Struthio camelus: one gene and its partners. The protein of the gene in region 1 binds, or shares a complex with, the protein of each later gene. Links are inferred from orthologs where the notes say so. Each region holds a gene or a part of one and is shown on either strand. Other genes may lie near its edges. The genes, in order: KAT2B, MYSM1, RBM10 and KIF11.

Region 1 (7,985 bases):
CCACTGACATAAATGGACTTGCTCTACGCAAGGCTGGGGTAGTTAAGAAAACCATTAATGCAGAGATAATCAGAGTACACTGAATGGGGTCCCAGAGAACTGCTGAGATCTCTACCACATAGTAAGCTGAGAAAACAGTAAGAAGAGAAAATGATGTTAGATAATGGAATACATAAAAAAGTATGGGAAGGCAGGTGAATGAAAAGTAAACAATATGTCTTATGTTTGCATTAAGCAATCTAGTGCTCTCCCTACCACAAAATGTGGTGTAAGCCTATGCAGCACCTGCAGATAATTAAATATCTTTAACAAGCAGCTTCTGAACCACACACACACACACACACACACACTTCATATTGTATTAGCAAAGGCAGTAATAATATCCTATGCTGCAGGAGCCCAGTATTTAGGTTTTTGCTTGGCTTTTGATAAGTCACAACTTAGACTGGAGTCAAGAAGAGTATGTGCTGTGTAAAAAGTGAATAAAAACTGCAGACTGCTTAATCACTAGCAAGAAGTTTTTGCTTCTTAAACAGACGTGAGTTTGTTTACACAATGACATTTTCTTCATTTTTTTCCCTCTGCTTTTGACTTACAAAAACTGGGTAATTGGGTTGTGAGGTTCCCTATGACAGTCAAAGGCTTAGTGGTAAGGTCTGCAATCCACATTATTAATTTCACATGTAAACTCTGTGGGAAGCTGACAAGATGCTAGAGAGTATAATGAACAAAACTTTTGTGCTGTTAATACTTCCAGTGATTCATAAAATATTGATAGCCTGAATGTGTAGTGGCCTCAAGGGAGGCCACTTAACCCACAAGGAATGTGCTAACGAAAGAATACAATAGGATTTTATACTTATAAATTCCCTGGAGGAGGGGGAAGCACTCTGCTTTTCACAATTGCATTGAAAGGCAAGGACAAAACCAGGTGGGAGCACGGGAGGAAAGTCTTGTCGTGAACAAAAGGAGAGTGAGACCAGTGGTTCATCACACTCGCTCCAAATAGGCCTGGGGTTGGGGGCGAGGGGGACAGATGCATCCCCAGCTGCACAGCTGGCTGCGAGGGCCCTCCCGGAGAGACAGCGTTCAGCATTAGGCAGCTATTAGTTGAATTATTATTCAACTTATGTGGCTGAGATCGGTCCCAAAAACCTCAAATGACAACTAAATAATACCTGGGTGTCAGGCACACCCTAAACCACATTTTAATTTCCTCTTTTGTAACTCGAGATGCCTCTTTTGTAACTGGATATCAAGAATACAGCCATCTGCTTTGCTGGAATAACTTGCATGCTTTTACGTTTAAGCTTGTCTAGAGTTCAGAGTGAATTTGGGCACTAAATGTGCTGTCCCCTGGAAGCACCAAAACCGAACATGAATCTCCTCAGGGCTATCAGCAGCTTGAGACAGGCCTGAGAGTCACAAGACCTGGAACATGTGTCTCATCCAGCTCCAGGCTTGCTTAAATTAACGTATATGAGTAGTCTTCCTGAAGTGGTGGGGCTACTTACCTGAGTTTGCAAGCTAAGTAGCACAATTAGGAAGTAGGCAGCTGTACTTAGCTCCTTCAATGGCTTGCTAAAAGCCAGTTTCAGAATAAGCTGGACTTGTGCAAGCCCATTGACGTGCCCTGAAGGACAGAAACTAAAAAATGTGGCAAGGTTTTTCAGATAATGCTTTGAGTTTAATTTTAATTTAATATTCTCATATTGAATATTTAATGGTGAAAATAAGCACTGGAGTGATTCTGTGCTCAGACTGAGTCATAAATTATAATTGAAATACTTTCAAAATTAGTCAACAGATAAAGTCAGCTTAGATATGAAACTCAGAATGACATGTAGAGTCATATGTCAAAACAGATTTTTTTTTCTGCTTCCCTAATAGAGTGTAATTTGTCATAGCCAAATTATATTCACCAAAGCCATCACTTGTGAACATGGCCCAAGTTATACCCCAGTGTTTCCAGCAACCAAACTATCTTTTCCTTCCTTATTCTTGCCAAAATATTGAACGTAACATTTTAGCTGTCACTGGAACAGTTTAAGGCAAGGTCATGTTAAGCTTTTTTTTTTTTTAAAACTTAATATTTTAGAACAAATGATAACAATAGATTTAAATGAGACTTACAGTTTAAAAAACCAAAAAGGCAAGCTTACCTAACAGCAGTTAAAGAGTGATTTCTTGTTAAGTTGTTCCTTTTTGCAATAGTAGGCAGTTGTTCTGCGTTTGTAGTGAAATCGGTGTTTATAAATGTTACTATAGTAACTGTATCCTTAGCCACAGGCTGGTAGATTTATTGTTCTGATTATCTAGTGAGCAGCAAGGTAAAAAGGAAAAAAAAAAAAAAAAAAGACTGTCAGACATGTTGTAAGAGAGCCACAATCTCACAGGAGGAGATGGCAAAAACTGCAGTAAAAATATTTTTCCCTTCATACTTACCTGCATCCTACTGTATGCCATGCAACAGCCTTTTTTCCACTAGACCCTCATAAACAAACAATGAAATGCAAGCAGAGATCCAAAGTACCAGGCATGTAACAAAAGTCAGTATCAGCTTCATAATGACTTTCATCCTTATTTTATTTCAGTGGAAGTAACAATTTCTCAGGCTTTTAGGACCTCGAAAAACAAGGTGAAAGAATCAGGCTGAAAGAAGGTTTTCTGCCTAGGCCGAGGTCCTGTGAACACTTGCACTCGTAGTTTCATACATAAACACACACTGGGCGGTCGTAAGTGGCGCTGGAACTAGGTGTGCAAAAACAGTAAATGTATTTTAAGAATTGAAATGTATAATTTGTTTCTGTGTGGATGCAAAGTTGATACTGGATTAGATAACATTAGTTTATCATTTAGAGGAGAAGCTAAAACATTTGCCAGCTTTGATGGTTTTCTTTTTTTTTTATTTAAAAAAGATGTTAGGAGACTGCCCGTCAAGGCCATAGCTCCCAGCAAAGCTGGAAGACAATGGCCAGCCATGTTAAGTGGCACACGGAGAGGAATTTGTTGTTACAGATGGGACTATTCACTTCACTTGCAACTGTAGCAGAGCAGTGGGAAAGCTGAAAGCGAAACCAAGCCATTTCATTGCCAAGTCTGGGAGGAAAGTGGAAGAGCGATTGTCATAAAGAAATGCAAGCAAATACATTTAGAAAGTTATTCTGATGACCTCAGGTGGATGTTATCATGCAGCATAATATTTGTTATCCTCAAATATTAGTTGAACACTCTCAAAGGAAAAAAAAATAAAGGTATAATTTAAGAGTGAGGGGTTTTTTTTATTATTATTCGCTCCGAAGGCAGGGTCTGACGTGCCGTCGGCGGCTTCCCACCGCCCCTCCGGGAAGCCGGGCGGGCAGTGCCTCCTCCACCTTAACGGTCTGTCTTAAAACACTGCGGATGGCAGCAGCCATCTTAAGGGTCACTGTCACCCCCCCCGCCCCCGCGAGCCACATCCCTGCTCGGGGATCCCTCCCCGGCGCCGGCCGCGGCGGGGGAGCCCCCCGGCAGCGCCGCCGCTGCCCGCTCCGCGCCGCTCCGCCCGAGGGCGGCCCAGAGGCTTTGCGGCACTTCCCAGGGCGCGGGGGGAGGCGCGCAGGGCTCCGCGCAGGGCTCCGGCCCTCGGGAGCGCGGCACCGACCAGCTCGGACCCGCCTCCCCGCTCGTCACCTTTTGTTCCTTTTAAAACCTCAGCCCCCCCCCCCCCCCCAAAAAAAAGCCCACCCCTCCTCCTCCTTTGCAAATAAAAACGTTGAAACCTTTCAATCTGAAAGGGAACTGGATGCGTCCTTCTGATTTTTTTCGCACTGAATGAAGATGTCAGCTCACCGTTGAGTCTCAGTGGTTGAAAATATCCAGGGAGAAAACGGGGCTGAGGGAAGGGGAGATCAGAGGGAAAATGCGTCCTCAGTCCTCCCCCTGCTCTTTACTCCCCACCTTGCAGAAGCCTCTCATCCTTTGCGCTTGTGTAAGCCAGCAAGGCCCTGCGTTGCTGCGAGAGCTCTTTCATGCACTGGGATTCCCCTCAACGTTAATATTACTGCTTCTGGTTCACACATCAAAGCCCTGTAAAACACACACAAGCGCGGGCAGCCTTAGCTCCAACCTTTTAAACCGTGGTACTGCGTTAGCGAATTGTCATTTGTGGTTTCTCACCGTTCAACCGCGTTTTTACATATGTGCAGCAGGACATAACTTCCTCAGAACTGAAAGGCTTATTTCCAGGCACAGAGTGCAGTTGCTGTGGCAGAATCATTTACTTAATTTGAGCTTCCAATTAAAAGGTAGCTACTTAAAGACATAGGTTGACCTGCTGTTAACACCTGTTCCTGGACAAACAAGAAGCCGCGACGTGACTCCCCCCCGGAACTGAGCAGAGTCTTTATAGTCTCACATCTTTAAAGCCAAGGAGTATTTTTATGTTCTTTGACTTCGAAATAATCTTTAAAAGCAAACAAATAAGAAACCGGAACGGTTTAAAAACAGCTGAGAACTGCAGGGTGTGGAAACGCAATAGTTAAGTCGACAAACTAGTGGCACCGTGAGGGGAAAAACGGGGCTTTTAAAGGACTTGAAGCCAAGGGGGGCCGAAGAGTGCGGCTTCTTCCGCGCCTCTCGGCGGCCCCTTTCCTCCTCCGGTTCCCGGCCGCGCAAGGCCCGCACCGGCGGGGTCCCCCGCGCGCAGCCGAAGCCGCCGCCGCCTTACGCGGGGGCGCACGGCCGCCGCCCGCCCATGCCGGCGCGCGCGCTCCCCCGCGGCTCGGCGCTGCGCTGCAGGGCGGGAGGCGGGGGCCGGCTCCGCGCTCCCCCCGCCCGGCGGGGCAGGAGCCGCCCGCGGAGCGGCCAGTCCCCTCCCTCCCCGGGGGGAGCAGCCGGCGGCGGCGGCGAAGGGGAGGGTCTAGCGCTCGGCGCACCGCGCCGGCAGAGCCGCACGGGCGGGCGGCTCCCGCCGCGCCGCGCCGCTCCGCGCCGCTCCGCGGGGATGGCGGAGCCTAGCGGCGCCGGGGCCGCGGCGGCGGGCGGTGGCGGGCCGCAGCAGGGCTCGCCGGCCGCCGGCGGGGTGGCCGCCGGGGGGCCGGCCCGCACCGCCGCCGAGAGCCCCGGGGGCCCCGGCTCGGCGCGCACCGCCGGCAAAAAGGCGCAGCTGCGCGCCGCTCCGCGGGCCAAGAAGCTGGAGAAGCTGGGCGTCTACTCCGCTTGCAAGGTACGGCGCCGGCCGCTGGCGCCCACCCGCCCACGGAGGGTGGGGATTGAGCCGGCTGGGGAGGGAAGGGAGGGCGGCAGGCGGTGGGGAAGGGCCGGGCGGGGGAGGCGGCGGCGGCCCAGCTGCAGCTCCGCGCTGCCGGGAACCGCGGAAGTGGTGAGGCTGGTGGTTCCTCCTCCGCCCGCAGCCTTCCAGCTAGGAGCGGCAAGAATAAGCCCGAAAGACGCCGAAAACAAGCCCTCGCGTGCAGCACCTCCCTCCTCCTCCTCCTCCTCCTCCCCCTGCCCCTGTCGATACGGGCAGTAGCGGACGTGCCCGTCCCGCTGCCTCCGCCCCAGCCCGGCCCCCGCCGGGGTCGCTCGCACTTGCACCGCTGGGTTGACGGCGCCGCGGCAGCTGCTCGCCGCGTAAACACCGCGCGGGGCCGTTGCGCCCCCTCGCCCCGGGGGAGGGGGAGGCGCGGGGCTGGGCCGGCCTCGCGTCCCGGCGGGGGCTGCCGCCATCCAAATGTCGCTGCTCCGAGCTGGCAGCGTCGCCAGCAGCTCTGGCAGAGGAGCAACGAGGCGCGGCCTCTCCTCTTGGGAAAGTTGTCCCCACTGGTCACGTCGGTGCGGGCACGGAGGCCTCTGTCGTCTCCCGCACTGGGCAGGCCTTCTCCGCTCACCTTAGTGACACTGCCCTGGGTTTCCCTCCCTGCATCTTTCCCTCTGCCTGGAATTTTCTTCCGGAGGGGAGAAGCAGGACTTGACTGTTGTTGGAGATTGAGAGAGCCTGGTCAGAGTTGCAGCCTTGCAGTCTTTGGAGGTCTGTGACCTCCAAACTGGTGTTGTCACCTGTGCACGTGCGGCTGGACTGCACTGCACACGGTGCAGGGCCAGTGCCCTCTAAGCATGGGCTGTCACCTGCGTTACTGCTTTCGTGACTATTCTTGGATGCGTGATGAGTCTGACACGTTCAGGATGGCAGTAGTGTCATGAAATCTTCTAGTAATGCTTTTGGCATAGCAAATAAGTGAGCAGTTTGTGAGAAAGTGTATTATTTACTTTCTTTGCTCCTTTACATCAGAACCCTCAGAAGGGCAAATGTTAAGTGAAAGGCCAACCTAAATGCTTAAATACGTGAGGAAGCGTTATAATATGGCTCTGTAGTCCTGTCTGGTGATGGGAAGTGCTTTAACTGTACTCTGAAAGCATGTTGCAATACTGTAAGTCATGTGAGGTCAAGTCAAGGAAACCACGCACACACTTCAATTTCTTAGCTGTTTACAAACATGCAGGAATCTCCTCTCGGGCTTTGGCATGTATGTGTGACGTTGCAAGAGACCACCACTGTTGGGAACTTAACAGAGCAGTTAGTGTGTTTGAAACCTGAGGTCCCCATAGAAGGATGGGTGACATGGTTCAAAACTTTCTGGTAGTGATTCCCCTCTGCCCCCCCCGGTATTTTAATGTTACCAAATTTTGCTATGCTGTTAAACAATGTTAGACAGGGAGGATGTGAGGTTTTCATGAGCTGTTGAGTGGTGTGTGTGTGTGTTTATGATTCTACCTTTTCCTTCCCTAGTCTGATCTTTTTTCTTTCCTTTATGGATCTCCAGGGGTGGGCACAGAGCTGTGGCAGCTTGTGTTGCAGGTGCTGTGTGTGTGTGGTAGTGTTACCAGCCTTCAGCTCCTGTCCTTCTGCGAGAAGTCAGGGCCGTGTCACTGCTGGCACTGCAGTGAGCTGAGAGTGCGCGACCTGTGGCTAGGGACACCCTGGAGCCTCTTTGTCCTTCCCTGCCAGGAGCCTGGCACAACCACAGAACTAAACACTACCCTGGGTTCAGATTAAAATGCAAAAGCAACCTTTGCTACCTCGCTTTTCTTCAGTAATTTAATAGCAGGCAGCGTTCTTTCAGGTTGCAAAACATAAGCAAGTAGACAAACAGGAAGCTTCTTGTAAACTAATCAAGCGGTTTTTCCTATGGGATAAAGGGGGAAGGATGGAGGAGAGCGGAAGAATGTGTTATTTTTCCTTTTGAACAACTGGCAGGTGCTCCACAACTACAGTACTTGGCTTGTAACGTTAGTGGTTTGCAAGAAGCTGTAGCAGTGCAGGGAATAACTTTGAACTTTCTTACTTTGGGCTGAAACTGATTCTATTTATTTTGTGCGTTTCTGTTTGTGTGTGAGAGAGAGACAGAAATCAAACACTCGCACCGCCTCCAATCTCAAAATAATGTAACTTATGTGTTTATTCAAGGGGCAGCCATGCGTGAGTCTTGTGTAAATATACAAAGAGCTGTTCAGGTTGCAGTGGAGAAACTATGCAGTGCCATCCTTAATGGTGGTGTCCTTCTCCCGCGGGAAACAGGAGAGGAAAACGCTGCTGCTTCAGCACATAAAGTTTAGTAGAAACTTAACCTCTGAGACGCTGAGAGGAGCAGAGGCAGAGAGCGTGTTCGTTAGGGCTGAAGAGAAGCAGCGCCAGGAGATGGGAAGAGGGCTGACACTGAGCGGCAGGTGGCTGGGCCTCGCTGGTGGCAGCAGCAATGTGCTGGGCCAGAGATAAGACTGTCCCGAGCAGGACCGCCGTGTGAGCGGGCTGCTCTGGCCCCAGGAGGGAACGAGCCCCCTTGTCACTCTAGCGATCCCTCTGCTTCAGCCTTTGGGAAGTGCAGGCAAAAACTGCAGGCAGAGACATCCTCGATGTGCATATAAACTCAGCAGAGCTAGACTGAGCATTTTGGAATAAGTTTAGGGAGCTGCTGCCCCAGCCTAGGACTATGGAAGAGTTTTGT
Region 2 (7,121 bases), on another chromosome or scaffold:
TTCAACCAGCCTGTTTACAAATCCATATGCAATTGAAGTCCTAAGAACTAAAAAAGAAGAGCTAGTAGAAGGCATAAATAATCCAGACAATCTTCTGAACTGGCTTATAGACAATGGCATTTTTACACCAGAAAAAAAGATAGTCATGACTTTCTATAGGACACGAAAAGAAAAGAACTCTCGAGTTTTAGATATACTAATTTCTCATGGTGAACGAGCCTGCAGGCTCTTTTTTTACCCATGTTTAAAACAAGTGGAGCCAAAACTTTATAACAAGATAAGAAAATATGTCAGCGAAATAAACGAAAGTATTGGGGATGCTAGAAGACAATTGGTAGGGTATTTAACTGAAAAAGATAAGGCTTGGCTTGAAAATCGCAGTGAACAGCACCAAGAAAAAAGAGAGCGTCCTAGAAGAAGAAAGCAAGAATGGTCTATTAAGAAGAAAGGAAAAGAAACTGAACTTTCAGCAGCAGCAAAACCTAAGAAAGATCATTCTGATATTGGCATCTTTGATGCAGCAGCTAAAGGCTACCTTTCTGAGTTAGAGAAAACATTGAAAGATAATGATATTAATGCACTAAACTCTGCAAGTGAAACACTCCTGCACATTGCAGCTGCTAATGGACATCTAACAGTAATGGAATATTTGATTAGCAAAGGTGTTAGGCGAGATGTGAAGGATAAGAAAGGAAGAACAGCACTGCACAGGGCTGCTGAGAAAGGCCACGATGATGCAGTGAAAGTGCTTCTCCAATGTGGCGCTTGTATGTATAGTTTGGACAGAGAAGGCAAGACACCACTTCATTTGGCTGCACAGAATAACCACGGTCACATATTGAAGACGCTCCTGAAAGAAGAGGCAAGAAGCTACAGGAACCAGCACAACTTTTTGCACATGGCAGCTCTTAAAGATGAGAGCATTCTGGCAAAAACGCTTTTAAAGAATGGCGCCTCTGTTGATGGAAAGGATGAAAGAGGACAGACAGCTCTCAGTTATGCTGTCTCTCAGGGGTTTGAAAACACTGCAAAAGTACTGCTAGAGGCTGGAGCCAGTGTTGATTCCAAAATGACTGAAAGAGCCTGCAACAGCAACCACCCATCCATTTTCAAAACACTGCTAGACTATTGTAAAGGCTTGTCCTCTGACATAATGGAGTTAGCTCTTTTCAAAGCTGTACAGAAAAATCTGCATGGTATTGTAGCAGCTTTAGTTGACAGAGGCACAGATATAAACGCCTACAATGAAATGCAGTATACTCCTTTACTCATGGCATGTGAAACAGGCAAAGCTGAATCTGCAGAAGTTCTAATTGAAAAGGGTGCTAACTTTGAAATAAAGACTCCTGCTTCAGACACAGCTTTGCACCTGGCAGCTCAAGCTGGGGCCGCTTCCATCACAAATCTACTTTTACACAAAGGGATGGAAGCTAACGTTATGAACCAGGCAGGTGAAACTCCACTCCATGTTGCTGCCCTTCATAATAAAGGAGCACTAGTTAGCATTTTAGTTGATGCTGGGGCCAAAATTAATGCCGTCACTAAAGAGTTAGTTACTCCCCTGCATATTGCGAGTCAAAGAGGTAACACTGATGTTGCTCAACAGCTGTTGCACCACAAAGCCAATGTTCATGTTAAGGATAAGCAGTCAAAATCACCTTTACATCTTGCTTCTGAAAGGGGAGATAACACAATGGTAGAGCTGCTTTTGAATGCTAATGCTGACCCCAATGCACAAGACAAAGAAAAAAAGACTCCCCTGCACACTGCAGCTATGAGAGGACATCTCAGTAGCATTAAAGTTCTGTTAGCCAAAAAAGGCAGATCCGGAGTTAAGGACATGGATGGATGTACTCCAATGCACTATGCAACCATCAAAGGAAATGCAGAGATTGTAAAAATTCTTCTGACCTCAGGGAAAAATAAAAATATTGATGAAAGAAATATTTGGAGAAAGACTGCACTACATATCGCAGCAGAATATGGACACAGTGACTTGATAAATCTATTACTGAGCCAAGGGGCAGCTATTAATGCCTTAGACAGCAGCAAGGATACTCCATTGCATTGTGCCTGCAAGGCTGGTCATTTGAATGCTGTAAGTTCCCTTGTAAACTGGTCACAAGGAGAAAAAGCAAACTTACAAGCTGCTAATAGTCTAAAGAAGACTCCACTGCAAGTAGCAGAAATTAACAAAACAGAAAATCAGGCTCAAATTGTAACACTTTTGAAAAAGAAAATGTTAATAACAAAATGAGCATATAGAGCAAAAACTCCTAAATACATTTAAATGCAAAATTATCTTTTAAATTATTATTTAATGTAATTTGGATAAGGCTGCTGTCCAGTATCATTGAGTAAGGACTGGTAGAATTACGTTAGTAATCAAAGGTGGCCAAGGAAAAAAGGATCTTAAACATGCTGTTATTCTAGGTATTGATTCTCTCTTGCTTTTCTCACAAATCTCATACTTGGAACCTATTTGAAGCATCCATCTTAAACACACTGTGTGTGACCCCCTCTAGTATAATCAAGACTTTTTAAAAAAGCGATAGAAATTCACTTTTCATATTTCTGTGAATAGTAGCCGGTACGGATAGCTTAGGTAAAAGGTTTGTTAACATCACATTTGTACGAAGCCACCTATTACAAATAAGCACATATCTATATCCACAAGCATACAGAGCACAGAAACGTTGGACTTGGTAACACCGCAGTTAGTTTCAGACCTAACTGCAGGGTGCTGCCAAAAGGGATTGATCATGCCCTCCCTTGCAATCCAGTCATGCATGCCCACTCCCTTTGTTTTGGCACTACAGCTCTAGGTTTGATGGGTGAGCTGATCTAACTCATCCCACAGTTATAACCAAACAAAGTGGAGAAGCATGGCAGTAAATGGCTGAACAGCACTGCCTTTTTTGATGCTAATGAAATATTAGTTTGGTTTATGCTATTACAGCATCACTCTCTGGGCTAGCTGGGGAGCAGAAGCCACCCACTGACACATTTACCAGATCCCCCTCCCCAGCAAATCCTACCATAAGGTTCAGTATAAACCAACCAGTGGAGTGGCGCAGGTCCACAGCTGTGCTAACTCAATTATGCTGACTTCAGGACTCATAATACACAGACATTCAAAATTGGATTGGCCCCTCTTCAGACACCCCTGTATTATACGCTATCACATGGCATTTGCATATCGTAGGACTAAAAATATTAGTTTTCAGTCCATCTTTCATTACATCCTTTGCTTACTTTTACATTTTTCAGTAGGGATAATGAAAAAAAAAATTGTTGTATTTGCTGTTTATTAGTTTCACTTTCAAATCAGTTCCAGCACATAGATGAAACGTTCAGAATAAAAAGGTTGAAAAATACAGTTTATTAGTTCAAAACAAAGTATTTGCATTGCAATTTTTTTAAAATAGAAACACTTTCTTAAGTCGAGGGAAGCTTCTCAGTGGCCATATTCTTCAACGTGATAATCGACCCCCCCACAGCTCTTTGCTTTTCCCTTCATCACGATCGGATACCCAATTACCATGAAGGGCAAAATGATTCTTGTGAAATCAAACATCGGCCCGAAAGCGCACGAGAAGAAATCTGTGATTTTTATAGCCATGTTACAACGCTTTAGAAGTAGCCTGTACAAGGCCCTGCTACCGGCATCCTCCACTGACACCAAAATAACGCCTCTCTGGGGTCAGCGCATAGCAAACACCTCTAAGGGAACCGCTTTTATTCCCGGCCGCTCTCACACTGCCGAAGGCCAACGGTCGCCAACGGCCTCCAACGGCCGCCGGCGCGAGAGGGCTCGCTGAGGGGAGAGCGGCGAAGGCGGGAAGGGCGCGAGGCGCCCGGGCCTGCCGGGCCCCCCTCCGGCCTCGCGCTGCCGGCTCCCCTCCGCTGCCGGAGATCCGCCCCGTTTCCCCGTCGTTTTCGCCTGGAAACCGCCCGCCAGCCCCCGCCTTGCCCTCAGCTGCCCCCTCCCCGCTCCTGCGCGCCCCGCCTACCCCAGCACCATCTCTCCGCCTCCGCCCTAGCGTCTCCTCAGGGCGCCGCGCCGGTCGGCCGGCTGGCCGGGCTGCGCATGCGCCGCGCCGTGCCGCGCTCCGCGCATGCTCAGCCGCGCTGGGCGGTGCCGCCGCCGCCGCCGCTTCTCGCGAGAGCTGGCGGGGCCGGCGCCATGGCGGCCGCGGAGGAGCCGGAGGTGGACATCGAAGGGGACGCGGCGGCCGCACCCGGCGAGACGCCGCCCGGGTGAGTGAGGCTGTCGCCGCCGTGGGCAGCGGGCAGCCTCCCCCCCCCACGCCCCGTGGGGGTAGCCCGCCTCCGGGGGCAGCTGCTGGCCGCGCGGGGACGGCCGGCGCTGCCGGGGTCCGCCCTGAGGGGGCGGTGAGGGGCGAGCGCGGCCTGCGGAGCCGCCGGTGAAACCAGCGGTGTGGTGGGGCCGGGGGGGGGGCATCGCGGCGCCCCCGGCAGGGCGGGTCGGCTGCCGCCCGGGGGCAGTACGCGAGGGGGCGGCCTCGGCCGTGGAGGGCCGAAGCCTGGCGAGGAGACACGGGGGCCCCTCGGGGAGGAGGAGGTGGGGGCAGGACTGGGGTTTGCGGAAATCATTACGGTGGGGTGAATGCACAGCTGTCCTCGCCAAATCCCACAGTGCTTGAGCCGGGACTGTCAGACTTGGTCAGACTTTTAGGAGACTCTTAAAACGTATAGATCCTCCCTCGTCCTCTCCAAAAAGAAGTACCACCGTGTTCTCTAACAGCAAACATCCAGAACCTAAAATCCACAGAAGCTGTCGCAGCGGATAGTCCCAGGCAGGTCCAAAAAAATGATTTGACAGATTCAGGCATGATAGATCCCTCAGCAGACACTGAAGTGAGTGGGTAGCAGTGCACTTATGTTGTTAATGTAGCGATTACGGATGCTGGGAGAAGATGAGGGGAACGGAGCAGGGAAAGTAGTCGGACTCGCAAGCTCTCCTGAAGCAGCACCTCCTCTTGCTGCTGCTGGGGACAAAACACTCAGCAAGACGCACTGTTGATCCCAACCCGTTTTTTTAATATGCTCTACAAGAAGCTGGAATTTATATTGGTTTCCTGCTGTAGGCAGGGATTTAATTCTTCCCTATAAAGAGGCATTTGACCTGGTGGGACAGAGCAGTTCAGAATAGTAATTAAATTATTTTTAGTAACATTGCAAGGGATATAGGGCTAACTACTCTTTAGAAAAGGCTGAATGTTCTCGAAGCAAAGATCTTGAAAACAGGTAATTATGTGAAGTGCTAAGGAGGTTTTTACACCGCAGTAAGGTAGTGGGAAGTTGATCCAATGACATTAATCAGTGCTAGATTTTTAAAGTAATAAGTAGTTATTTACCTAAAAAGATCAAGCATAATCTGGATGAAGTCAGTCAGAACATAAATAATTACATGCGACGGGATTTTATTGAGCCCTGTGTAAGTATCAGCCTTCTTCTGGAGGTAACAGCCCTTTCTCTGTAAAGGGGTCTTCTGATTTTACAGAGGGGGAAAATGCAGAAATGTTAAGTGGAGGTAGCACAAGTCAATGACAGTTTTAAGATTAAAGCTATAGTTCTCTAATTGTCCACAAAATTCTTGCCTCTTTCGTTTGTGTATGTGTTACGAGGTTTTTACAATGAGCTGGTTTCCTCCACTCTCACCTCCTGCTTTCATTCTTCCTAGATGAGGATTTTTACCATTCAGGGTTTTACTGGTATGTCATACAGTCTGCAGTGAGATAGGTGAGCTGTTGCTGCTGAGAGTCCTACTAAAGATCGTTTACTTGTGGTATTTTATGCTATGTCTTATGGAATATTATAAAAGAGTAACCTTACGTAACAGTCTGCAATATACAACTTTAATTTTAGAGTCTAATTCTGTCATTGCCTCTGTTAATAGTTACTTTATTTAGCTCCATATTTATTTTAATTCTGACAAAGCATCCAGTTTCTTTGAATATGTTTGTAATGTTTTGAACATTGGAATCTTTTCTTTAGAGATTATGAAAATACAGCTTCAAGCTTGCTGCAGGATCACTATCTTGATTCATCTTGGAGAACTGATAACAATCTCGTAAGTAATTTTTAAATGAATGGTTCTTCTAGCAAGGTGCTCACAGTCTCTGTTCTCTCCCTTCTCTTCCCTCCATGTGCGTGCTCTTTTAGATTATTAATCCTATTTTTCTACAGACGACTCAGGCTATAATTGCCTTTGCTTTAAAATAAGTATTTGTTGCTTACTTTTGGAAGCTATTATACATTAATTCTTGATGCTTGTATAACATCATGGCAGAACTGAAATATTGAAAAATATTTGTATTGTTTGCAGCCGTGGACGTTGGACAGCAGCATTAGTGAAGAAAATAGGGCTGTTATTGAGAAAATGTTGCTGGAAGAAGAGTATCCTTTTGTTGGTTTGCTTGTGTGTTTGTGTGCAGGACAACAGACACCTTTCTGTTTAAAAAGGAAGTAGAGAAATCTTCTACTTGTGAATGTAACTGAAGCTTTGGTATCTTGTAGGTAGCTTGCAGAAGTCAGGGAAGACACTTGCATTAAATTATCTAGCTACCTGCAGCTTCCTCTGACCCTCGTAAGTCTTTAGCTTCCTTACAGTGTATTGACAACAACCAGGTTTAGTCACAGATACAAAGTTTAGGCATGGGAAACCGAATCTTCTTAGGTAGTCAGTCAGTGGAGAGAGAAAGAGACATTAAGGGGTGGAGCAATTCTGAGGGGAAGGGACAGGCTAAACTGCTGAATTTGGGTGCCTGATGTAGGTGACGTGAGTGCTCCTTTGTACTTTTTCTCCATCTTTGTTGCCTAATCTGTCTTAATCGTATCCAAATTGTGAGGTTTGCTTAATGGTTTTAAAGTCCATGTCAGTCTTCAAACAATAAGGTTGATTTAAAATCTTAGAATATTTTATTTTGAGAATATTTTTTTTCTGTGTTGTATTGTGTGATACTATTGCAACTACACTTACAACTATTACTATTTCAGCTATTACAACTACTATTACAAATAAGGGTCAAACTCTTCTCTTTATCTTTTTTTTGCACTTAATGTTCACAGTATCTCTGTCTCTTGACAAAAACAGC
Region 3 (7,545 bases), on another chromosome or scaffold:
TGGGGGGCCTATAGGGGGTCATGGGGGCCATGGGGGGCTATAGGGGCCTATAAGGGTTGTGGGGCCCCATAGGGGGCCTATAGGGTCTGGGGGGGCTAGAGGGGCCTATAGGGGTTGTGGGGCCCCATAGGGGCCCTGGGGGCCTATAGGAGCTGGGGGGGCTATAGGGAGTCATAGGGGCTATAGGGGTTTTGGGGTCTCATAGGGGCCATATGAGCCTATAGGGGCTTTAGGGTCCGGGGGAGCTATAGGGGATGGGGAAATATAGAGGATTGTGAGAACTTACAAGGCCTGATCTGTTGGGCAGACCTTATAGGTGCTACAGGTAGTATATAAACTGTAACAGTTTATGAAGTCCTATATGAATATACTAACTATGGTATGCACAAGTGCTATAGGTGCTTTGGGGGCCATTGAGGCTATAGGGGCTGTGGGGGACTCTAGGGGCTGGGGGGCCTATAGGGGCCCTGGGGGGGGGCTTTAGGGGCCACGGGGGCTATAGGGGCTGCAGGCACTATGGGAACTACAGAGGCCTCTGAGGGCTGGGGGGGCCCTATAGGGGCTGGGGTGGGCTGCGGGGGGCACTGGGGACCGTGGGGAGCTATGGCAGCTATAGGAGCTGCAGAGCCTATAGGGTCCAGTGAGGCTTTGCCAATGCAAGTGGCATAAAGACTGTAGGTGCCTATAGAAACTTCAGACATATGGTACCTCTGGAAGCAAAGGTACCTATAGGGGCTGTAGGTGCTGCAAGAGCTGCAGTGATTCATCGCAACGAGGCGGCTGGGAAGCTGTGTGGGACCTATAGGGGCTGCAGGGACCTATAGGGGTTTGAAGGACTGTGGGGTCCACAGAGGCCGTGGGGGCCGTAGCGGCTACGGGGGGTTGTGGGGCTGTGCCTATAGGGGGTGCGGGAACTATGGGGGGCTATAGGGGCTGCAAGGGGCCTATAGGGTCTGCGAGGGACAACGGGGGGCTATAGGGGCTGCGGGAACTATGGGGGGCCATAGGGGGCTATAGAGGCTGCGAGGGGCCTATGGGGGCTGCGGGAACTATGGGGGGCCATAGGGGGCTATAGGGGCTGCAAGGGGCCTATAGGGGCTGCGGGGGCCAACGGGGGACTATAGGGGCTGCGGGAACTATGGGGGGCCATAGGGGGGGCTGTGAGGGGCCTATAGGGGCTGCGGGAACTATGGGGGGCCATAGGGGGCTATAGGGGCTGCGAGGGGCCTATAGGGGCTGCGGGAACTATGGGGGGCCATAGGGGGCTATAGGGGCTGCGAGGGGCCTATAGGGGCTGCGGGAACTATGGGGGGCCATAGGGGGCTATAGGGGCTGCAAGGGGCCTATAGGGGCTGCGGGGGCCAACGGGGGACTATAGGGGCTGCGGGAACTATGGGGGGCCATAGGGGGCTATAGAGGCTGCGAGGGGCCTATAGGGGCTGCAGGAACTATGGGGGGCCATAGGGGGCTATAGGGCTGCGAGGGGCCTATAGGGGCTGCGGGAACTATGGGGGGCCATAGGGGGCTATAGGGGCTGCGAGGGGCCTATAGGGGCTGCGGGAACTATGGGGGCCATAGGGGGCTATAGGGGCTGCGAGGCACTTATGGGGGCTATAGGGGGCTCTGGGGCGGTTTAGGGGACCGCAGTGGCCGGGGAAGGGGCTATAGGAGCCTATAGGGGGGGCTATAAGGGGCTATAGAGGGGCCGGGGCGGCCCCCGGCGGCGGCTCTAGGACCCGGCGGGCTCCGGGGGAAAAAAAGCGGCCGCGGTGACGTCACCGCGCGCCTCGCCGCGGGGGCTGCTGGGAGCTGTAGTCCGCGCCGCGCGGGGGCCGCCGGGAAGGGGCGGGCGGACCCGGCCCGGCAGCGGCTCAGGCAGCCGCCTTCTGGCGGGAGGGGCCCAGGCGTCCGGGCACCCTCCCCCCCCACCACCCCTAAAGGGGCCCAGGCGTCCGGGTGAACCCCAAAAGGGGCCCAGGCATCCGGGTGACCCTCCAAGGGGCCCAGGCGTCCGGGGACCCCCAAAACGGGGGCCCAGGCATCCGGGTGACCTTCCCAAAAGGGGCCCAGGCGTCCGGGTGACCCCTAAGAGGGACCCAGGCATCCGGGTGAACCCCCCCCAAGAGGGACCCAGGCATCCGGGTGAACCCCCCCCAAGAGGGACCCAGGTGTCCGGGTGAACCCCCCCCCAAGAGGGACCCAGGTGTCCGGGTGAACCCCCCACCAGGGGCCCAGGCATCTGGTGAACCCCCCGCCCCCAACCAGGGGCCCAGGCATCCGGGCATTCCTTCCCCTCTTCCCCCCCCCCCCCAAAAAAGAAGTGGGCCCAGGCGTCCGGGCAGCGTCTCAAAGCGGGCCCAGGCGTCCGGGCGTTTATTATTCCTCTTCCCCTCTCCAAAACGCAGGAACGGGCCCAGGCGTCCGGGCCGTTATCAACGGTCCTAGGCGGTCGGTCGTAGCGCCGAAGGGGCCCAGGCGTCCGGGTCAGTCGCCGGCGGGGGGCAGGGGCAGCCGCGCCGGGTCGTAGTAGTCGGGCGTCACCAGCGGGAGCCCCTGGGCCTCGCGCGCCCGGATCTGCCGCTCGGCCTCCCGCCGCGCCCACTGCCGCAGCCTGCCGGGGGTGGGGGGGGGGCCCAGGCGTCCGGGTGACCCTCCGAGGGGTCCAGGCGTCCGGGTGACCCCCACCGCCCAAAAGGGACCCAAGCGTCTGGGTGACCCCCCCCCCAAAAGGGACCCAGGCGTCCGGAAACCCCACAAAGGGGCCCAGGCGTCCGGGTGAGCCCTCTCAAAAGGGGCCCAGGTGTCCGGGTGAGCCTCCAAGGGGCCCAGGCGTCCGGGGGAACCCCCCCCCCAAAAGGGACCCAGGTCTCCCAGTGAACCTCTGAGGGGCCCAGGCGTCCGGGTGAGCCCTCCCAAAAGGGGCCCAGGCATCCGGGTGAACCTCCAAGGGGCCCAGGCGTCCGGGTGAACCCCCTCCGAAAGGCGCCCATGCCAAAAGGGGACCCAGGCGTCCCGGGCGCCCACGTCAAAAGGGGGCCCAGGCGTCCGGGAACTACCCCCAGAGGGGCCCAGGCGTCTAGGTGCCCCCAAAAAGGGGCCCAGGCGCCCATCCCAAAAGGGGGCCCAGGCGTCCGGGGGAACCCCCCCCCCCAAGGGGGCCCAGGCGTCCGGGCGCCGCTCACCCGTAGTCGGGCAGGTAGCGCAGGAAGGTGGCGCCCAGCACCAGGGCCACGGAGACGCCGGCCACGAAAGCCGCCCGCATGTTGCGCGCGTCGGCCGCCGGCTCCTCGGCGAAGCCGTGCGTCTCGGGGTGCTGCGGCCGCCCGGACGCCTGGGTCCCTGCTCCGGCGCCTCCCGGGGGCGGGGGGGGCCCAGGCGTCCGGGCAGAGCAAGAGAACCCCCCCCCCCGCCAAAACTCCCTTAGCTCCGCCCCCCACCCGGCACCGCAGCCAATCAGCTGCGCCACACCTCCCCCTTCTCCCTTTCCCCCAGCCTGCTTATTAAATGAATGAAGGAGTTAAGCCCCGCCCCTCCTGCTGTCAATCAGCCCTCATAGGACCTTGATACACCCTGGCCCCGCCCCCCGCCATTCAGGCCCCGTAGAACGCCCACCAAGCCCCGCCCCCGCCATTCAGGCCCCTTAGAACGCCCACCAAGCCCCGCCCCCGCCAGTCAGGCCCCGTAGAACGCCCACCAAGCCCCGCCCCCGCCATTCAGGCCCCGTAGAACGCCCACCAAGCCCCGCCCCCCGCCATTCAGGCCCCTTAGAACGCCCACCAAGCCCCGCCCCCGGCCCCGCCCCCTACCCTTGAGGCGCCTCAGAACGCTGCAAGCCCCGCCCCAGACCACGCCCCCTGCCAGGCCCCGCCCCCGAGCCGGGACTTGGGGGCGGGGGGAAGGACACAGCCGGGCTGACCTTGCGCTGCACCGCCCACATCCCGTCCTCCTCCTCGGCGCCGTGGTGAGGGCCGGCGGCGGCGCCGAGCGGGGCGGCCGCGGGGCTGACGGTGCCCGCCGCCGCCGAGCGCTGCCGCCTCCCGCTTCTCCCGGCCGCCATCCCGGCGCCGGCCGCCCGCAGCGCCCGCCCGCAGCCAGCCAGCGCCGCCATGACGCTGCCCGCCGGAAGCGGAAACCGCGCAGCACTCGTAGCTCCTTCCCCACCCCCTCTCGAGGGCTCCGCCAATCAGCGCCGGCGGAGCGGGGCGGGGGGGCGGGCCGGCCGCGGGGCCGCCCAATCAGACGGCAGCGGGGCTGGGCGCAGCGCGCTCCTCACCCCGCCCGCCGCGGCTCCCTCCAGCTCCCGCCTCTGGGGCGTCTCGGCCAATCAGCGCCGGCGGAGCGGGGCGGGGGGGCGGGCCGGCCGCGGGGCTGCCCAATCAGACGGCAGCGGGGCGGGGAGGGGGCGCGGCGCGCTCCTCACCCCGCCCGCCGCGGCCCCGCCCTCCCGGGGCGCCTCGGCCAATCGGGGCGGGCGCGCGCCGCGGCGCGGGCCAATGGGGGGAGCGGGCGGGAGGGAGGAGGGAGGGAGGAAGAAGGAGGGGGGGGGCCGGCCGCCATTTTGCGGGCCGGGAGCTCGGCGGAGGCGGCGGCGGGTGCGGGCGGTGCCGGTGTCGCGGGCGCAGCGCGGACAGGTCGGGCCGGCGGGGGCCTCTTCGGGGAGAGGGGCGGGGCCTCCCGGGGAAGGGGGCGGGGCCTCCCCGGGAGGGGGCGGGGCTCACCGGGAGCGGCGGCGCTGTTTGTCTCCCCCCCCCCAACACTCTTCGCCGCCGCCGCGCGCCCGGCGCGGGAAGGTGATTGACGGGAGGGAGGGGCGGGGCGGCGCCGCCCGATTGGCTGGCGGTGGGGAGCGGGGCGGGGCCCGCGCGGGTTTGATTGACAGGGGACGGGGGCGCCGGATTGGCTCGGGGGGAGGGGAGGGGCGGGGCTTGACGGGGCGGGAGCGGCCTGCGGTGCCCGCGAGGGGCGGGACTTGTATGCTAATTGGGGGGCGGGGCCTCGAGGAGTGGGCGGGGCTCCCACTCAGGAGGTTCCCCCACCTTCCCACAATGCCTTGGGGCAGGTCCCAGGCCCCCTCTCTCCCCTATTGACCCCCAGTTCTCTTCCAGTTGCCCCCCAGTCCATCCCAGTTATCCCCAGTTGCTCCCTTTTTCCCTCCCAGTTGCCCCCCAGTCCATCCCAGTTATCCCCAGTTGCTCCCTTTTTCCCTCCCAGTTGCCCCCCAGTCCATCCCAGTTATCCCCAGTTGCCCCCAGTCCATCCCAGTTATCCCTAGTTGCTCCCAGTCCATCCAAGTGCCCCAAGTTGCCCCCAGTCCCTCCCAGTTGCCCCCCAGTCCATCCCAGTTATCCCCAGTTGCCCCCAGTTCTCTTCCAGGTGCCCCCCAGTCCATCCCAGTTATCTGCAGTTGCCCCTTTTCCCCTTGTAGTTGCCCCCAGTTGCCCCCAGTCCCTCCCAGTTGCCCCCAGTCCATCCCATTTATCCCCAATTGCCCCTTTTTCCCTTCTAGTTGTCCCCAGTCCATCCCAGTTGCCCCCCAGTCCATCCCAGTTATCCCCAGTTGCCCCTTTTTCCCTCCTAGTTGCCCCCAGTCCATCGCAGTTATCCCCAGTTGCCCCCCAGTCCCTCCCAGTTGCCCCCCAGTCCATCCCAGTTATCCCTAGTTGCCCCCAGTCCATCCCAGTTGCCCCCCAGTCCATCCCAGTGCCCACATTTGCCCCCCCAACGCATCTCAGTTGCCCCCCAGTTGCAGCCTGGTCCTCTCTAGTTGCCTCCCAGTCTGCCCAGTGCCCCCATTAACCCCCTAGTCCCTCCCACTGCCCCCCCCAGTTGCCACTAAGTCTCTCCCACTTGCCCCCCAGTCTGCCCAGTGCCTCTGTTGCCCCCCAGTACATCCCAGTCGCCCCCCAGACACACCCAGTGCCCCCCGTTTTCCCTCCCAGTTGCCTCCCAATCCACCCAGTGCCCCCCGTTGGCCCCCCAGCGCATCCCAGTTGCCCTCCCCGACCCTCCCAGCGTGCCCCAGTCTCTTCCGCGGCCCCCCCAGTCCATCCCAGTTGCCTCTCCCGGTGCCCTTGACGCCCCCTAGTTCCCCCCCAGTTGCCCCCCAGTCTCTCCCAGTTACCCCCATCTCCCCCCTCGTCCCCCCCCCCCAGGTGCCAGCGGGGTGACGCCAGCGCCATGGAGTACGAGCGAAGGTAGGGGGGGACCCAAAAAGGGGGGGGACCCAAAAAGGGGGGGGGGACACCAAAGGGGACAGGACGTGGGGCACGGGGCGGGGGGGAACCCAAAAGAGGGGACGCAGAAGGGTCGAGGGGGACCCAAAAGCGGGGGGAACCCCGTAGCGGGGGCTAGGGGGGACCCAAAACGGGGGACGCACCGGGGGGGGACCCAAAATGGAGGCCACAGAGGGGGGGGAACCCAAAAGGGGCGACATGGGGGGGGGACCGAAAAGTGGGGGGAACCCTATAGCCGGGGCTAGGGGGGACCCAAAATGGGGGACGCAGAGGGGGGAGACAAAATGGAGGCTGGAGCAGGCCATGGGGGACCGCAAAAGGCGTGACGCCGGGAGGCCATGATGGACCTGGGGGTTTCGGGGGGGGGGGCGCCCGGAGGGTTTGGTCCCCCCCCCCCCGACGCTCCGGTCGCCCCCAGGGGGGGCCGGGGCGACCGGACGGGGCGCTACGGGGGGGCGCCCGAAGCGTCGCCGTCGGCGGCCATGACGGGCCGGGCCCAGCGGGACCACGACTACGGCGACATGGACTACCGGGGCTACGGGGGCGCCGCCCCCGAGGGGCCCCCCCAGGTGGGTCCGGACGCCGGGGCCCCTCGCGCTCGGGGCGGGGTGGGGGGGAGGGGGAGGCCTGGGGCCCCTTTGGGGGGGGGGGTCACCCGGACGCCTGGGCCCCTTGTGGGGGAGGTCACCCGGACGCCTGGGTCCGTCGGGGGGGGTCACCCGGACGCCTGGGCCCCTCATGGGGGGTCACCTGGACACCTGGGCCCTTTGTGGGAGGTTCCCGGCCGCCTGGGTCCGTCAGGGGGGGTCACCCGGACGCCTGGGCCCTTTGTGGGGGGGGGGTCCCGGACACCTGGGTCCTTTTGAGGGGACATCTGGACGCCTGGGCCCCTCTTGGGGGGGGTCCCGGACACCTGAGTCCCTTTTAGGGGTCACCCGGACGCCTGGGCCCCTTGTGGGGGGTCACCCGGATGCCTGGGCCCCTCTTGGGGGGGGTCCCGGACACCTGAGTCCCTTTTAGGGCTCACCCGGACGCCTGGGCCCCTTGTGGGGGGGGTCACCCGGACGCCTGGGCCCTTTGGGGGGGGTTCCTGGACACCTGGGTCCCTTGGGGGGGTCACCCGGACGCCTGGGCCCCTCTTAGGGGGTCACCTGGGCCCCTCATGGGGGGTCACCTGGACGCCTGGGCCCTTTGTGGGAGGTTCCCGGACGCCTGGGTCCTTCGGGGGGGGGTCACCCGGACGCCTGGGTCCTTCGGGGGGGGTCACCCGGACGCCTGGGCCCTTTGTGGGGGGGGGTCACCCGGACGCCTG
Region 4 (7,777 bases), on another chromosome or scaffold:
AAATGTCCCTGAACATCTTGTCTTGCTTTAAGATTGAAATATGAAAGGGAAAAAAATACTGTTCTCTGCTCTTTGTGTGATATGTACAGAAATACAGCCATTGAGAGAGATAACGAGCTCAGTAAATGGGATGATGCTATATAATTCCCACTCCCAAGTGGCTTGTCTGTTGACTTCTCTCAGTTTAGAAATAATGAATTAATTTAAATCAAAAGATAATGCAAAACCAACTTCCTCTTGACTTCAGTGGGTTCTACCTAATCTATGTTTGCAATTTTCCCCTGGTGTCTTGTCCTTTTATGTACAGGATGTCATCCGCTTGCGTGCCTTCTTTGAAAATGAGTAAGTGCATAGTGATTAGCTTTACTCTGAGGTAATTACACACATGTGTATACACCCTTGATTGTGGAGTTAATTTTTTATTATGGTGACTATAACCATAACAAGTTGTAAAAGACTTAACTTCCACATCTGTGATGGACAGCGATCCTGCACGCACACACAGACGCACGCAAGCACACCCACACATCCTTCATTCCGTGTATTCTTGCTGGTTACTTGAAACCAGTTCTACTTTTATTCATGTTGCATAGAGATCGAATCCTTAATTTTTAACAATGAGGTAGTTACTTTATTTTGTTACATCTTTAATTTTTAACAGTGAAATAAGTGTGATGTTACTGCAACTGAGGGAAAACCCTGTCTTCTAACTAGCCAAAAAGATACCAGGACTGCGTGTTTTAAGTCCTTACTGGTTTAACTTTCTGTATGCTTTCTACATGTAAATCAGGTGCAGTTCATCTCCCCTCTAATGTAAATACACAATCTGTGAATTTTTCCTATATCACTGAGAATATTAAGTAGGATAGTATCAAAATTAACTCTTACAACACTGAATACAAGGACATTGACTTGCTGATAATTCTTCACCTTTAATGGCACGTGGAGACCCTTTTCTAGCCCATTTCAGCTCATCTACTGTGTACCATGTTGGTAATCAGAACAGGTTAATACCTGTTTAATTACTAAGCCTTGAAGAAATCTTAACCACAGTTATAATTTGTATTAATTATATGTCTCCATTATTATAACCCTTCCTAATTCTTTGCTAATCCTGTTCAGGGTCAATAATTCCACTATTTGTCAGGCTTCCACACCTATCGTTATCCAGGTCATCCTGTTTAAATCCTAGGAAAATGCTAATTTTGTTGAAACATTCATTGTTTATTAATGTCATTATAATACACTGAGTTCTTTTTCTTTAAGCTTTGCTAAATAATTGTCCTTTTTGATCAATAAATGTGATTAGTAGTCTCTACAGAAATCATAGTGATGCTTGTGTGTGTTATAATTCATTTTGCTATAATGTTATGTCTTTCTCTAAAAAAAATAAAATATATTTGTCACAGTTGGTGTACATGTATTCTTGGGAGGTCATTTTCCCAATCACTGTTAAGACTCTCTTAAGTGTTCTGGTTTCTCTTTTTTTTCATTTTTAATTTATTTTTATGTGTTGTGAAATGCCAGTTCCCTGTTACTCAATTTGTATTTATAGCATATCAATATCTTTAGGCTCAGCCTAGACTAAGAAATAGTTCTGTCTATGTTGTAAATTGACTTTGTAAAATACATTTACACCAGTTAAACTATGTATGCATTTTTTAAGCTATCTTGATTACCAGAATTATCAGTTTTCCTCTTAACACAGCTATGGCAAAGGTAGCTATGGGCCAAATTCAACCCACAACAATTAAATAGATTACTGTTGTTTAAATGCAAGTTTCAATGATCTCTTACTTTCTTATGTAATGTGTTTTTGAGAGACGTGCTTATATTCTGAGCCAAATTCTGGCATACTTTCATACTGGGAAAGAACAAACAAGCAGAAATGGGGAAAAAAGACTTGTCTTTCAGCGGCTGCCGCCTTCTCTATGGTCCCTGGGAAGGAGTATGGAGTAAAAGGTACAGATTCAGTATGTGTGCATACCTGCATTTGACTACTTCGCTTGAGTAGTGGCTCGTACACAACTGTCTGTGCAAATAGTTTGTACACTTAGAACATACAGAATACATAAAGCGTGCAAAAATAATGGTGGTCTTATTTGCAGTTACTGTTGCTTTTGTATTATATTCATTTTTCTGTTTGGTTAAATCTTTCCGTAACCGAGACAAAATGTGTTATTGTGACTTTAGTGTTTCATTAGAGAAGAAAATAGTATGCCTTAATAATGCCAACCCATCAAACTCATTTAGGTTGGAAAGTCAAGCACTAAGAATGTTAGAAATTATAGTTTCCTTAGTTTTCTATGTATAGAAATTATGATAGAGTTTTGTTTCGAGCTTTTGCTATAGAATGAAAGCCTTATTCATTGGCTTGAGGCCAGATGATTCAGAATTGAAGCTGAAGAGCAATAATTAATTTGGCAGCTACTAACTTTCAAGTATCTGTCTTTACAAAGTAATTTTCTTTTTATGTAACATATTTGTATGCTATATATACTTTAGGATTGTATCGCTTTCAGTGGCATGCAAGCAGTAAGGTCTTATAGGAAGCCAACAGAAAATACTGGCTCAGATGGCCTGGAAATGAAAATTGTTATTAATCATTGTAAAGATTTCATATCTCTGGTGTCTCATCATCAGCCCATTTTTAGAGTGTCAGGCAAGTGTCTAGAATGTTAATGGTATCTGCATCAATTTCCATCAGAGCAGACCAAGTAAGACTTCATGTCCTCTTCTATAAAAATGTGTATATTTCTCAGATATTGTTTGTTGTACCTAGCATAAGACTGGCTCTGACATTGCTTTAACTTTTGAGATAAATGGTAGAGGAGCATAATGTGATGCTGCTTCATGTCACTGTCAGAAAAATTACTGCAAGCTTTCTAGGTCAGGATTCATTAAATATTACCTTTAAGAACTCATAGAGCAGTAGCATGTTTCAAAGTCATGGGTAAAGGGAACAGCCATCTTAAAAAAGAAGAGAAGGGGCTAGGGTGGCCTGAGAAATACAGACAGGTAATCTTAATTTCAGCAACCGGAAAGGCCCTAGAACAAAAACAAAACCCAAACCAACGCTGTAATACTCCAGACCATAACAAGTAGGTGACGGTATGACCATCTGTAGGAGCCAGCATGGATTTGTTGAGAACAAACCATGTCAAACCATTTTTTCCCTCTTTCTCTAAAATCTGCTTCATCCCTCCTACCCACAAGACCTGTTATCCTGTTATAGGTCTCTACTTAACAAAGCTTTTAACATTGTCCCAAATGAGACTCTCATAAGGAAGCTAGGGTGACATAGTTGAGTTGAGACTGCTAGTAAGAGGATGCTAGGAGAGTGGTTCACGTAATCTGTTTCAAAGTGAAAAGCATCTATGTAATGCCTCTATGGTGCTTTGTCCTAAGCCTATAACTATTCATTTTCATTAGCGAGTCAGAAAATTAAATAGAATTTTCTCACTAATTATGCAGACCATACCGGGCTATTGAGAAGTGTGGAACTCAAGGGGATGTTGATGAATTGGACGGGAGACTGGAGAACAGTCTGAATTAAAGCATACATAATTCGAAGATGGCCCAATGCAAAATTCTTGAGGTAGGAACAATGAAGTGGAGTTGCAGGATAGAAAACGCCTGGGTTGGCAGCTCTGCTGCAAATGTGTGGGGAATTACAGTGGGCCAGAGCTGATTATGAGTCAACAGCAGAATGCTATTGTGAAAAAGGTGAATGTTGTGCCTGGCTATGTAAATAGAGGTACGATCCTTAAAACGGGGAAAGTAATTCTGCCACTCTTCCTGGCATCTACTAAGTATCTTTCTCGAATTTTGAGCATGATATTTAAAAAATATACGTGGACTCACAGAAGAGCCTGTGGGGAGAGGAAAAGAGTGACTAGAAGTCCTGAGCTGTGCTGGAAGATGAAATGAATCGATTCATGTAATCCAGGAAAAAAAGGTAATTGAGGTGAGAAGTTTTGATGTCTTCAAATATTTCAATAACGGCACAGGAGGCGACAATGAGTTTCTCTGCTGCCCCCTGGTGAGCATAGACAGCAGTGATGGTAAAAATGGCTGCACAGAAGGCTCGAGTCAGACGTTAGGAAAAACTTTATAGCGGTGAGGACAGCGGGGGCTGGCAGGTTGCTTGGAGAAGCTGCGCGCGTTCGTCAACGCTGGACGCTTGAGCGCTACTTTAGACACGCCTCTGTCAGTAATAAAGCAAATACGATCCAGCTCGTCTTGGAGCACAGCATCCATCTTGTCTTGAATCCAAAAACCCGTCCAGTCTAGTCTAATTTTCTTACTATTTTGTCTGTTCTGTTGAGATTCGTACACTGCTGGCTGCGGGATTAGCACGGCGGGACTGCCAGAACAGATCTCAGCTCCTTAGCCGGACAGGAGGGCTGCGGAGAGCGGCGGCGCCGCCGCGCCGGACGCTGCGTGGGCGACCCGCCCAACCGTCGCTCGCGAGCCGCGGCGCCTGTGCTGGACACGTAACACGCACCCGCCGGGTCTGGCCGAGAACTACAACCCCCAGCATGCAGTGCGCTCTGGGGCGCTCCCGTCGTGCGTCGGCACGCAAGCGCTGAGCCCTTACGTCATTAGCGTCTGCGCCTCGTCCTGAAATTTCAAACTTAGTCCCATGGTGCCCCGCGGGCTCGCGCTGATTGGCCGGGCCCGGGGGGCGGTGCGTGGTTCAAAGCCGGCGGCGGAGCGCGCGCCCCCGGCTGGAGCGCGGCGCGCGGCGGCGGTTGGCCCGGGCCCGAGGCGCGGCGAGGGCGACGCGGGGCGGCTGGCGCTTCGCCTCTCTTCCCCCTCTCGTCCCCCAGCAGGTCCGCGCTGAGGCCCGACATGGCTTCCCTGAGCTTCCAGGGCGGCGGCGCGAAGAAGGAGGAGAAGGGCAAGAACATCCAGGTGGTGGTGCGGTGCAGGTAGGCGCGGCGTACCCGCCCCCCCCCCCCCCCGGCGCCGCGAGAGCGGCCGTTCGCGGCGGTTTGGAGGTCGGCCCCTGCCCCGCTGCCGCAGCGACTGGTGGGGAGCCGTTCAGGTCCTTCCTTTTAAGACCCTCTGGGAACTGGGGCTGACGCTCCTCCTTGTCGAGGCGAGAGGCGCCTCCTGCGCTTTTGCTCGGGCACCCCTGGGCCCTCCTCGGTGGGCCGAGGCCGCCGTCCCGGCTTAACCTGGTCTGTGACAGAGGGCTGACAGAGCGCCGCCCGTGCGGGGTAGCAAGGTGCTCTGCAGAGGTACTATTCAACGGCTCCGAGGAAAGAGAACCGTATACTGTCTCTCTGAGTACATAATTATTAACGGGCGTGTCGTTTACACCAACGTCACTCTTTAATGCGCCTTAAAATATGTGTCCTAGGCATTAATTGCATGCGTTGTGACGGACCCGTGTAGCCAGTAGAGATCAGTGACATCCCTTCAAAATTAAGGTTGCTATACGGAAGAGGTTTTTTTTTTCATAGCATAAGAAGGCAAAATGTGTCGATTTGCTAACCTGATTCAACTACACAGCCAGTATGAAGTTATACGGGAAGATAAAGTTGAGCTGGAAAAGAGGAAATATGATGAAGATGAAATATCATCTTCTAAGCTTGTATGAGAAGGCACTACAATTTAACAACCACTTTTCAGTCTTTTGTTTAACTTCAGCGATGCTAATTTCCTGAGTTTAGACAAAAAGTTATGGAGTCAACTGTTAATGTAATAATGACTGACTGCTGTTTATCTTGGTTGATGAGATGAATTTGATTATCAGCATGAGAAAGCTGGTGTACCATAAAATTAGATTCTTGTAATTTTGAGGTGACTTGGAGGGCTGATTCACTGAAGTTAGAACTTAAATGCTCTTAACACGTTAACAGTATTACAGTTAATTTAAAAAAAAAAAATGTTGAGAGTCAGGTTCAAAAATGCCTTCAGAAGTTTTCTTGAGCCAGAACTGCAAATACTAGCTTACGTGTTAGTATTAATGCATTTTGCAGTCATTACATCCTTTTGCTTGGAAGCTCTACTTTTCCAAATGCACAATGAAATTAGAAATTATAAGATATGTTGCGAGAATAAAAGTGAAAATAGTTAACAAGCTGCTGAAACAAATGTTATAGGATTGGTGAAGAAGTTGATTTAAATCAAGAATTTGTAAAAGAATAAAGTTTTTGAAGCAATTGCATTTGAAGCATTGTCAAGAGCAGTCATTTTTCAACTGATTGGGACTTGGTTTGTTCTCGAGTATCCTCACTGAGTATCAGTGTATGTTTTAAATACATTGCTCAATATGACAGTCACACCAGGCTTGCTAGGGGTGGTAGTGCTTTTGTTGAGATTAATACCTTAAAATGAGTTTTATGTCAAGACCTTCATGTAGCCTCTGCACCCTAAAAATCTCTCGTCTCTCATTGCTCTTGCCTCTTGTAGAGCTGCTCTTTTTTCAATACTGCTTTAAATGTGTTTGCTTCCAAAACCTGATCTGTGTGAGCTTATCAAAAACCTTCTCAAGCAGGAACTCACTGTGCTTCAGTAAGAACCTGAATTTGGAAACTCAAAATGTATGTGTGCTAATGTATGTATGTGTGCTAATGTATGTTAATATGCTTTGATTGGTTTGCCTAGTGGGATGAACATGTGATCAAATGTTATCATGGCATTCCAAGTTGCTGCTTGCCTAGTGACACACAGTAACTACCTGCATGTATGCTCTATCTTAACTGAGTTGTCACTGTAATCCTACTGTTATGCATCGTATGGTAGGTCTCCCGGTCTTGACTGGTTCACTGCTGCATCATTCATTACAGAGCAGACTATATTCGTTGTTCAGCCTCCTCCTCTTATAAAAGTCACAAAACTGAAGCTGTAACTTGCCCTTGTGAACAAGATTGTTATGATCATCAACTGTCACCATAGTGACCTGACTGCTGTCACCATAGTGACCTGACTGCCTTCACTGTTGCTGTCAGTCTTGCATAAAAGTGTCTAGTGGTTTATGTAGAATCTGACACTTCAGCCTCAATGCTGTATTGAGGAGGAAATGTTAGCCACAAAAGTCAGGAAACTCAAAATGCCGCATACTTGTGGCCTCTTCTGATGATTTAAAGGTGCAGCATCTGAAATGCCTCTGCTGTCAAGATATTTTAAAGAAGGTTTTAAAGAATCTATTTTCGAGTTGGCTATCCTTTTACAGGTAGCGTAGACAGTCGGTGCAGTAACACTGTTGAATGAGTAATAAACTAACACTTCATCCTGCTAGTTTCATCCTGTGGTCATTTTTTTGACTTTTTGGAGGAAATTATTACTGATGCTTCTTTAAGGAAAACTGTATGCAGCAGATTTGGCTTTTTAAAAGGTGATTTAAATGATGAAACAAAATGCTGACCCTTAAGTTTCTAAATGTTTTGTTGCATTTCTATTAACCTGTGCTTACAACTCGATCTGTGTAAAAAGTTGGGTAGACTTCCCCCACCTAACTTACATGTTTTGTCTGTCCTAGGAAATTCTAGTTACGAACTCTTGAGTTAGCGTTATAAAGGTTCTGGCAGGGTTTTCTGCTGTTCCACTGTTAGTAAATTCTGTTAGCGTGTCTGGTACTTTAGAAGGGATGAAAGACAAGTTGTCCACTCCTGTGTCATCAGTGTGAGATGTAGGCTTTCTTGCTCATGCAAATGGAAAAGAAAAAGGAATTTTTAGTGAATTAGTTTGATTCACCATTGCCTTTCCTTCCATGTGCAAGTTTTTCTTTTTTTGAAGGTACTTATTTATGCTACTGTTTGATGTG

The links.
Region 2: KAT2B (region 1) and MYSM1 share a complex: the UniProt entries of both Homo sapiens proteins name them as parts of the large chromatin remodeling complex. The link is inferred for Struthio camelus from reciprocal best matches to the Homo sapiens genes KAT2B and MYSM1.
Region 3: KAT2B (region 1) and RBM10 share a complex: the UniProt entries of both Homo sapiens proteins name them as parts of the large chromatin remodeling complex. The link is inferred for Struthio camelus from reciprocal best matches to the Homo sapiens genes KAT2B and RBM10.
Region 4: KAT2B (region 1) and KIF11 share a complex: the UniProt entries of both Homo sapiens proteins name them as parts of the large chromatin remodeling complex. The link is inferred for Struthio camelus from reciprocal best matches to the Homo sapiens genes KAT2B and KIF11.

What each region holds. Positions count from the first base shown.
Region 1 is NC_090943.1:42,675,711-42,683,695, forward strand, and holds the start of KAT2B (histone acetyltransferase KAT2B), read left to right. Parts: upstream 1-4,984; coding exon 4,985-5,206; intron 5,207-7,985. UniProt on the Homo sapiens protein: Functions as a histone acetyltransferase (HAT) to promote transcriptional activation. Has significant histone acetyltransferase activity with core histones (H3 and H4), and also with nucleosome core particles.
Region 2 is NC_090949.1:34,090,981-34,098,101, reverse strand, and holds the start of MYSM1 (deubiquitinase MYSM1), read left to right. Parts: upstream 1-4,113; 5' UTR 4,114-4,186; coding exon 4,187-4,260; intron 4,261-5,706; exon of another isoform or gene 5,707-5,766; intron 5,767-6,021; coding exon 6,022-6,097; intron 6,098-6,352; coding exon 6,353-6,423; intron 6,424-7,121. Other genes in the region: CARD- and ANK-domain containing inflammasome adapter protein-like, read left to right, coding at 1-2,257. UniProt on the Homo sapiens protein: Metalloprotease with deubiquitinase activity that plays important regulator roles in hematopoietic stem cell function, blood cell production and immune response.
Region 3 is NC_090979.1:733,827-741,371, forward strand, and holds the start of RBM10 (RNA-binding protein 10), read left to right. Parts: upstream 1-4,543; 5' UTR 4,544-4,631; intron 4,632-6,152; 5' UTR 6,153-6,177; coding exon 6,178-6,194; intron 6,195-6,651; coding exon 6,652-6,802; intron 6,803-7,545. Other genes in the region: NDUFB11 (NADH dehydrogenase [ubiquinone] 1 beta subcomplex subunit 11, mitochondrial), read right to left, coding at 2,485-2,611, 3,183-3,313, 3,917-4,108. UniProt on the Homo sapiens protein: Binds to ssRNA containing the consensus sequence 5'-AGGUAA-3'. May be involved in post-transcriptional processing, most probably in mRNA splicing. Binds to RNA homopolymers, with a preference for poly(G) and poly(U) and little for poly(A).
Region 4 is NC_090948.1:18,993,106-19,000,882, forward strand, and holds the start of KIF11 (kinesin-like protein KIF11), read left to right. Parts: upstream 1-4,776; 5' UTR 4,777-4,854; coding exon 4,855-4,934; intron 4,935-7,777. UniProt on the Homo sapiens protein: Motor protein required for establishing a bipolar spindle and thus contributing to chromosome congression during mitosis. Required in non-mitotic cells for transport of secretory proteins from the Golgi complex to the cell surface.